2 linked regions of the Arabidopsis thaliana genome follow. The protein of the gene in region 1 interacts with the protein of each later gene in a pairwise test. Each region holds a gene or a part of one and is shown in the gene's direction. Other genes may lie near its edges.

The links.
Region 2: the proteins of WRKY28 (region 1) and DIC3 interact in a two-hybrid assay, tested with the Arabidopsis thaliana proteins (one large-scale study listed by BioGRID).

What each region holds. Positions count from the first base shown.
Region 1 is NC_003075.7:10,059,088-10,063,550, forward strand, and holds WRKY28 (WRKY DNA-binding protein 28), read left to right. Parts: upstream 1-2,126; 5' UTR 2,127-2,420; coding exon 2,421-2,851; intron 2,852-2,964; coding exon 2,965-3,108; intron 3,109-3,222; coding exon 3,223-3,604; 3' UTR 3,605-3,806; downstream 3,807-4,463. UniProt on the Arabidopsis thaliana protein: Transcription factor. Interacts specifically with the W box (5'-(T)TGAC[CT]-3'), a frequently occurring elicitor-responsive cis-acting element.
Region 2 is NC_003076.8:2,948,603-2,952,514, reverse strand, and holds DIC3 (dicarboxylate carrier 3), read left to right. Parts: upstream 1-1,819; 5' UTR 1,820-2,001; coding exon 2,002-2,428; intron 2,429-2,687; coding exon 2,688-3,274; 3' UTR 3,275-3,383; downstream 3,384-3,912. Other genes in the region: AT5G09490 (Ribosomal protein S19 family protein), read left to right, coding at 1-137; AT5G09480 (hydroxyproline-rich glycoprotein family protein), read left to right, coding at 900-1,334. UniProt on the Arabidopsis thaliana protein: PUMPS are mitochondrial transporter proteins that create proton leaks across the inner mitochondrial membrane, thus uncoupling oxidative phosphorylation.

The sequences.
Region 1 (4,463 bases):
CAAAGATTACTAGATTGGTATTGATTTTCTCGAAAACGTTTTTCATCGTAGTTTGTTTTGACCAAAAAGCGTTAAAAACATGGAAATTATTATGCCCTTCTTTCATTGATCAAATTTTTATATACCAAAGCCATAGTATTTTGATTCATTCCAATATTTTATACTGAGTATCACTGAGACACTGACTATATATATGTATGTATTCTCGCGCTATCCGTAATATGCTAGGTAATATAGCAGTGATTATTAAACGCATTAAGATCATCATACGTAATTCACGATAATTTGTAATCCAAAAACTTAGGTGTGACCAAAAAAAAAAAAAGAGTTGAATCCTTCACCTACCAAAAAAATGGATTGTGACCAAAAGACCATGACATATCAAATTTTTAGTGATTAAACCGATTTCTTCCAAGATGCTAGTATTTGTTTTTATCTTGCCATATTTTAGTGATTTTTCATAGTAGTAAATATATCACTTTGACCACATTTAAAGTTGATGTATGTCCCCTTCGCATTTGTCATGTCGGTTAGGCATTATATGTCTCCTTTTTTCCTGATCATATGCTCCTATCAATTTCTACAAACTCATGAAAACGATTACTAGCTATATAAATCAAGCATAGGGTTCATAACATGCAACTTTAATTCCCCACAATTATCGCAAATAAAATTGTATATAAAGGGTTTATCGTAATTATCATAATGTTAACATTTTCATAATATAGATACTTTTGGTTTGACCATCTTTTCCTTAATATAAGTTAATAAATTAAGATGCTCTTTTACTTGCAAACAGAAAGTTCTAATGTGAAAAAGAAATTGTTATTGCGTAATCATGATCTCACTTATCCGTCAGCATAAGTAACGATCCACTCCACATAGCTACGTCACTTAAAGTCCCATAGTAACTAATTTTCTTTGAATGTTATAGCAAATTATTAGCAATGTATGATTCTTTGGGTCAAATCTTACACTAAAAACATGAAAATAATTTGAATATCAAGAGATTCATATATTCATATTTTATAACCAAAATATGTAGGGTCTAAATTATTGCTTCTTGACTAGGAATTACCTATGAATAATTATTAAGGTTCGTGAAACAGTGAGGGAAAAAGAAGAAGAAGAAGAGAAGACAGTCTCTAGCACGTGCCAGGTCATGTGTCGGCGACGGTCAAATGCCGGTGCAAGTGTTTCCACGTGGCAGCCTAATACTCCCAAAATATAATCTTTTGTTTTCGTAAACTTTTTTCCCTTTGAATCTTTGACTGCCTCTTACTGCATTCTTCACACCAAACGACCGGCCGGTGACTGAGTGTTTCCGGTTTCCGGTAACACATAGTCTTCGCTGACTAAGACTCCTTCAATAACGTCGTCTTCTTCCACGCGCCGTTTAGTCGTAGCGCGTGTTATCAAGCCCGTCCACTATATATGCCACGTATAGAGTGGGGAAGAAAATGAAGGTGAGAACTTTTCATGTCCTACTTTTTGGCCCCATAAAAAAGGCAGCACACAAAAATAACCCAAAATTTATGCATGTTTATCAAATGTGGAAAAATAAAAGTAGAATTTTAGGAAATTTATACGAAGATACAATGCAAAGACTCGAAGAAATGTATTTAGTGGTATAGAAATACTTGCAAGTAAGCATATTCTGAATTAAAAATATAGAAGCTTAAGTATGTTTCCTCACTAGAAGCCAGTTTTGCAGCTCTATTTTTGTCAACTTAGCTTTACGTAAAGTTCTTATTGCCCGAAACCAAAAAGTCATTCAAAAGGCATAACATGATATCACAAATAAAATTATCATCTACTTCTATATCTTATTTCTTGAATATATATATATATATATATACCTATCTATTAAGTTGCTTATCGTTCACATTATTAATTTATAATTAACTTTATGTACATTTGACTGATAAACATTAAAAAGACTTATTTGAACCTTTTTGTATATGAATTCAAAATTATACTGATAAAATAACGTGAGGAAGAAATATTATGAAAGCTTTTAACATATAAATTAATTTGCATAGGAAAAAATTACACAACTTAAATTGAGATTAGTTAAGAAACAAGAAAAAACAAAGTTGATAGAAAAATAAAAGTATTAACACGACTTTGGATTCACACACGTACCATTGAATTATATCTCAATACACTTTTACTTAATTAACTTATTTCCAAACCAAGTAGCCAAAATCATATTATTCTTCTCTCTCTTCCTTTTTTGAGTTTCAAAATGCATAAATACGAGAACGAGAGACGAAGACCAAATTAAAGTCCAAGCACCAATCTAGACCTCTTAGGAAAAAAACCTAAAAACCTAATCCCCAAACCTAAAAGGCTTATCTCATCTCTTCTTCTTTGTCTTCTTTACTCTTTTTTTACCTCTCTCTTCATTGTTCTTCACCATGTCTAATGAAACCAGAGATCTCTACAACTACCAATACCCTTCATCGTTTTCGTTGCACGAAATGATGAATCTGCCTACTTCAAATCCATCTTCTTATGGAAACCTCCCATCACAAAACGGTTTTAATCCATCTACTTATTCCTTCACCGATTGTCTCCAAAGTTCTCCAGCAGCGTATGAATCTCTACTTCAGAAAACTTTTGGTCTTTCTCCCTCTTCCTCAGAGGTTTTCAATTCTTCGATCGATCAAGAACCGAACCGTGATGTTACTAATGACGTAATCAATGGTGGTGCATGCAACGAGACTGAAACTAGGGTTTCTCCTTCTAATTCTTCCTCTAGTGAGGCTGATCACCCCGGTGAAGATTCCGGTAAGAGCCGGAGGAAACGAGAGTTAGTCGGTGAAGAAGATCAAATTTCCAAAAAAGTGTAAGTCATAACTCTATAGGAACTTTTATGCAAAACATTGAACATCATTTGATCTCTTCGTTTAGGAATTTAGTCTAGCATGTGTATTAATTTTATAGTGTATTATTTTTCAGTGGGAAAACGAAAAAGACTGAGGTGAAGAAACAAAGAGAGCCACGAGTCTCGTTTATGACTAAAAGTGAAGTTGATCATCTTGAAGATGGTTATAGATGGAGAAAATACGGCCAAAAGGCTGTAAAAAATAGCCCTTATCCAAGGTAACTAAACTTTCCCTTTTTATTTTTTGAAATTGCTAGGCTTGTGAAAATTTGTGTTTAGAAAAATGCGACCATTATAGTGTAACTGATAATAGCCAATGGAAACGAAAATAGGAGTTACTATAGATGTACAACACAAAAGTGCAACGTGAAGAAACGAGTGGAGAGATCGTTCCAAGATCCAACGGTTGTGATTACAACTTACGAGGGTCAACACAACCACCCGATTCCGACTAATCTTCGAGGAAGTTCTGCCGCGGCTGCTATGTTCTCCGCAGACCTCATGACTCCAAGAAGCTTTGCACATGATATGTTTAGGACGGCAGCTTATACTAACGGCGGTTCTGTGGCGGCGGCTTTGGATTATGGATATGGACAAAGTGGTTATGGTAGTGTGAATTCAAACCCTAGTTCTCACCAAGTGTATCATCAAGGGGGTGAGTATGAGCTCTTGAGGGAGATTTTTCCTTCAATTTTCTTTAAGCAAGAGCCTTGATCGATCATTGTTATAACTACATATATTATATATATTGAGAGAGAGAGGTAGAGAAAAAAAAAACTTATATGTAACTTAAGATCTTATTTTGTCTCTCTTATTTGCATGTACATATTTTTTCATGAAAGAATGAGACAGTTGGGCTTGCTTATATATTTGATGATGTTTAATGTGTTACCGTTGGATACATATTTTCGCTTCCATTTTGTGAAATTATATTTTCTTCTTTTGGTTAGTTTTTTACATTATGATATTATGCTGTGTAATTTGTACTATCATATGTAGAAGCGAAAAAGACATAACTCTAGCTAGGAGCCTACGATTGATCTCCCAAATGTTGATTATAATATATACATATGCTTTTGGGAAACTTAAGTATTAAATTGACAAGTTCAAATGGTCAACTTCTTACTGATTTATATCTTAATAATCAAAAATTACAAAAAAAAGTTACAAGCTCATATGTGATGAAGAAATTAGAATCGGAAATTTAATGTAAGGGTGTTGATATAAAAGGTTCAAGTTGTAGACGACGAATATCTATGTGTGTGAACAAGTAAAGAAAAAACAAAACAAGTTGAGATCTAACCTTGTGTCCTAAGAGAATGGACCCGAATAAAAGATTTGACTGCTTCTGCTTTCTATCTTATCCACACACACATGGAAACATAGACTGTGGACCAATAATATTACCCCTACCATCAAAACTGAAAACAATGTTTTAATTCAAAAAACGAAAAATAAAAAGAAAATACTAAACAATAATAAAATTATATATCAAATCTCAGATTTATAAAGAGTGAATGAATTACAAAAAAAATTTGAAGGAACGAGAAGGATGCGAAGAAGAACCTTAGAA
Region 2 (3,912 bases), on another chromosome or scaffold:
CTTTTAACCAAATCGAGATCAAACCGGAGATGATTGGACATTACCTTGCGGAATTCTCAATCACTTACAAACCCGTTAGGCACGGCAAGCCCGGTCATGGTGCTACACACTCCTCTAGGTTTATCCCTCTCAAGTGAAGCCATTTCAAGACTTCATTCTGCTTTTACAATTTCTTTTGTTTTGCTCATCTAAATCTATCTTCTTATCATCATGTCTCTGACACTCTAGTGTCTTTAAACTTTTCTTATTATCGTAAAAAAAATTCTTGGTGATTTTCTCTATAATACTTAATACCATTATGAGTTTGGACTTGAGTTAGTCTTTAATTTTTTTTTTTTTTTATCTCAGTCTTATTTTTTATTTTATTTTATAAGTCTTAAAATTATTTGATTTTGATCCTTATATATTTTAATAATCTACATAATGCGTAAAAATACACTTTTCACTTGAAACGGTTACAAGATAAAATAATAAAATCATATGTAAATGTATTAATAATGAATGTTCACAGGTAAAGAAGGGGTGATGCATATGAGACGTAAAATACAATATAGGTATTGCTAACTTTAAGATTTCTTGTAATGTTTAGTATCAATAGCTTTAAAACAAGTATATATATTAGGTTCGAAAGTAAACTTAAAAGGGGTTATACAACTAAGACGTATAATGAAATATAGGTGAGTTTGTTGAAGACTAACATCACATTCTCACAATCGTGCAGTGAGATCTTCTCACCAAATTTTTTTGACTCTTATGAATCTACATTCTAAGATCTCTCTCATCTCAATATTATTTAAGAAACCATTCTGTAAACAATATATAGCAAAACACAAACTCTCTATACTCACAACATTGTTTAACTCATCTTTCTAAGTTGGTTTCGATTCAAGAATATCACAATGACTAATGTTCGCCTTCCTATTCTCGTCTCCTCGGTCTTGTTCCTTGTCTTTATTTCATCGTCCCTCTTGTTCCCTACACCTAGTTTTGCTGCTAGAGTAAGTCATTCTCTGGTGCAAGAAGAGGTCAAAAAGGTTCCAGAATACACAGAACCTGAGGAGCCGGAAGTTCCAGAAGAGCCGGAGCTGCCCTCACCGGAGGAGCCTGAGATTCCAGAAGAGCCTGAGATTCCAGAAGAGCCTGAGGTTCCTGGAGAACCCGAAGTTCCTGAAGAGCCCGAAGAACCAGAAGAGCCAGAAGGGTCAACATTTGAATTTCCATCATGGTTTCCGAGCTTTCCTATTCCCGGTGTTAATGGCGGTTTGCCAAAGACTGAAAAGACAAAACCTACATCAACAGTTGAAGAGGTTAACGTTTCTAACAAGAAGCCATAGATCAATGGGTAAAGAACGTCAAATGATTATATAAACTATATATGCAATTATAGTTTTGGTTTGTGTTTGGTTAAAGATGAGAGATTACATATGTATTACAGTATTAGAGTCCTCACCATGTCATGATTGAGTCTCTAAACGCTCCTGATATAATCTCGTACTAATTCTCTCTTGTAATATGTATATCTCTTGTGGTACAAAAAATATATATATAACTCTTAAGTAAATCATGTAATGTAAGATATTTAATTAAAGATATAATGTGTCAATTGTCGGTGTATATGACGTTCGTCTTAATGAAACATCAAATTTTATGAGTAGATGTTAGATATAGAACATTGGTTTCATTGACCAATATTGGTTTATTCCTCTAGCTTCAATTATTCTTTTTCTGTAATGCCAAGGTGTGCATCAAGACAAAACAAGAAACATTGTGCTAAAAGCTGGAACCCGTAATTCAGGACTAGTACACAAACACAACTACTCGTTGCATTATTTTCTTCTCAAGTAGTTTGTCTTCTTCCATTCCAACTTGTTCAATTTCATTTCTTCTTCTCCAAACATTTTATTACAAAAGATCTATTATCTCCCAAACTCTTCTTTTCTTTCAATTCCCATTCCTCAAAACATTCTCTCCTTACAATAAAATCCTCCGGTAATCGTTTCAATGGGCTTCAAACCATTTCTTGAAGGTGGCATCGCCGCAATCATCGCCGGAGCTCTGACTCACCCATTAGACCTCATCAAAGTCCGTATGCAGCTTCAAGGCGAACATTCTTTCTCGCTCGACCAAAACCCTAACCCTAATCTTAGCCTTGATCATAATCTTCCCGTGAAACCTTACCGACCCGTTTTCGCTCTTGACTCTCTCATCGGCAGCATTTCCTTATTACCCTTACACATTCACGCGCCGTCTTCTTCCACGCGCTCCGTCATGACCCCTTTCGCCGTAGGGGCACACATTGTCAAAACCGAAGGACCCGCCGCTCTCTTCTCCGGCGTCTCCGCCACCATCCTCCGTCAGATGCTTTACTCTGCCACCCGTATGGGTATATACGACTTTCTTAAACGAAGGTGGACTGATCAACTCACCGGTAATAATACTAAACTCGATCGGCAACAATATTACTCAAAAAATAATTTTGGTTTTTATTCGGTTTGGTTTGGTTTGATTACACTAAAAGTCGTTTACAGTTCTCGGTTATTGGTTTTAAATAAGAAAACCAATGGATTTATAAACAAATGCTGGTTCGGTTTCGATCTTAAACAGTTTCGGTTTGTTTGGTTCGAATTTTTTCCATATTATTACACAAAAGATCAAATAAATTAAACGTAAACGATAATTCCAAACAGGTAACTTCCCATTGGTAACCAAGATCACAGCTGGACTCATCGCAGGAGCCGTTGGATCAGTCGTCGGGAATCCTGCTGACGTGGCGATGGTGAGAATGCAAGCCGACGGAAGCTTGCCGTTAAACCGTCGCAGAAACTACAAGAGCGTCGTGGACGCGATCGACAGGATCGCAAGGCAAGAAGGCGTTTCAAGTTTATGGCGTGGCTCATGGCTAACCGTGAACCGTGCCATGATCGTGACAGCTTCTCAGCTCGCTACGTATGATCACGTCAAAGAAATCTTGGTAGCTGGTGGCCGTGGAACGCCGGGAGGGATAGGAACGCATGTAGCGGCGAGTTTTGCGGCGGGGATCGTCGCGGCGGTGGCGTCGAATCCCATCGACGTTGTGAAGACGAGGATGATGAATGCGGATAAGGAGATTTACGGTGGACCGTTGGATTGTGCGGTGAAGATGGTGGCAGAGGAAGGACCAATGGCTTTGTACAAAGGGCTTGTTCCGACGGCGACGAGGCAAGGACCGTTCACGATGATCTTGTTCCTTACCTTGGAACAAGTTCGTGGTCTGTTAAAAGACGTTAAATTTTGATTAATTTTTTTCAAGTAGTTAGGTTAATAAATGTTTGAGATTCCCATATTTCTTCATACATTTCATATACGTTTAAAATATTTTGAAAATAATTATATAGCGATTAAGGTAATATTTACTAGAGATTTTTGTATAAAAATAAATTATTTATTTGCACAAATATTTTTTTTAGTAAATGCGAAAACTGATAGTGATTGAAGCAAAGGGACTTTTTCGGACGGTCCAAGTCTCTTGGACTTGGGGGATATACTTTTGCTGGGGACCTTCATTTGGTATATTCCTTTTTTTCTTTGGGTACTATGTTCTATTTTCTTGGTTGACAGAAAATATGAAATATCGCTTCTAAATTACAATTTCTTTTGTTTGTTTGTAAAAATCTAAATTAGAAATTATGCAAAAAATTATAAGAAAATAAGATTAACAATAATGTTTTTCTTTTATTGACTTTGATCATATTATCTCTATAAAAGAGAAATAAAATCTTTCTAAAGTTTTTTTACTTGAGTTTGAAGCTGGTGGCAATTTGGTGTTTGTTTTATGAGATTGTATAAGAGTTATCCAAAGCTGAGACATGGCCCAAAATAAGTCCAAGGCCATGTTTAGGCTCCATTTTGCATGGCCACTCCACTCATCTAACC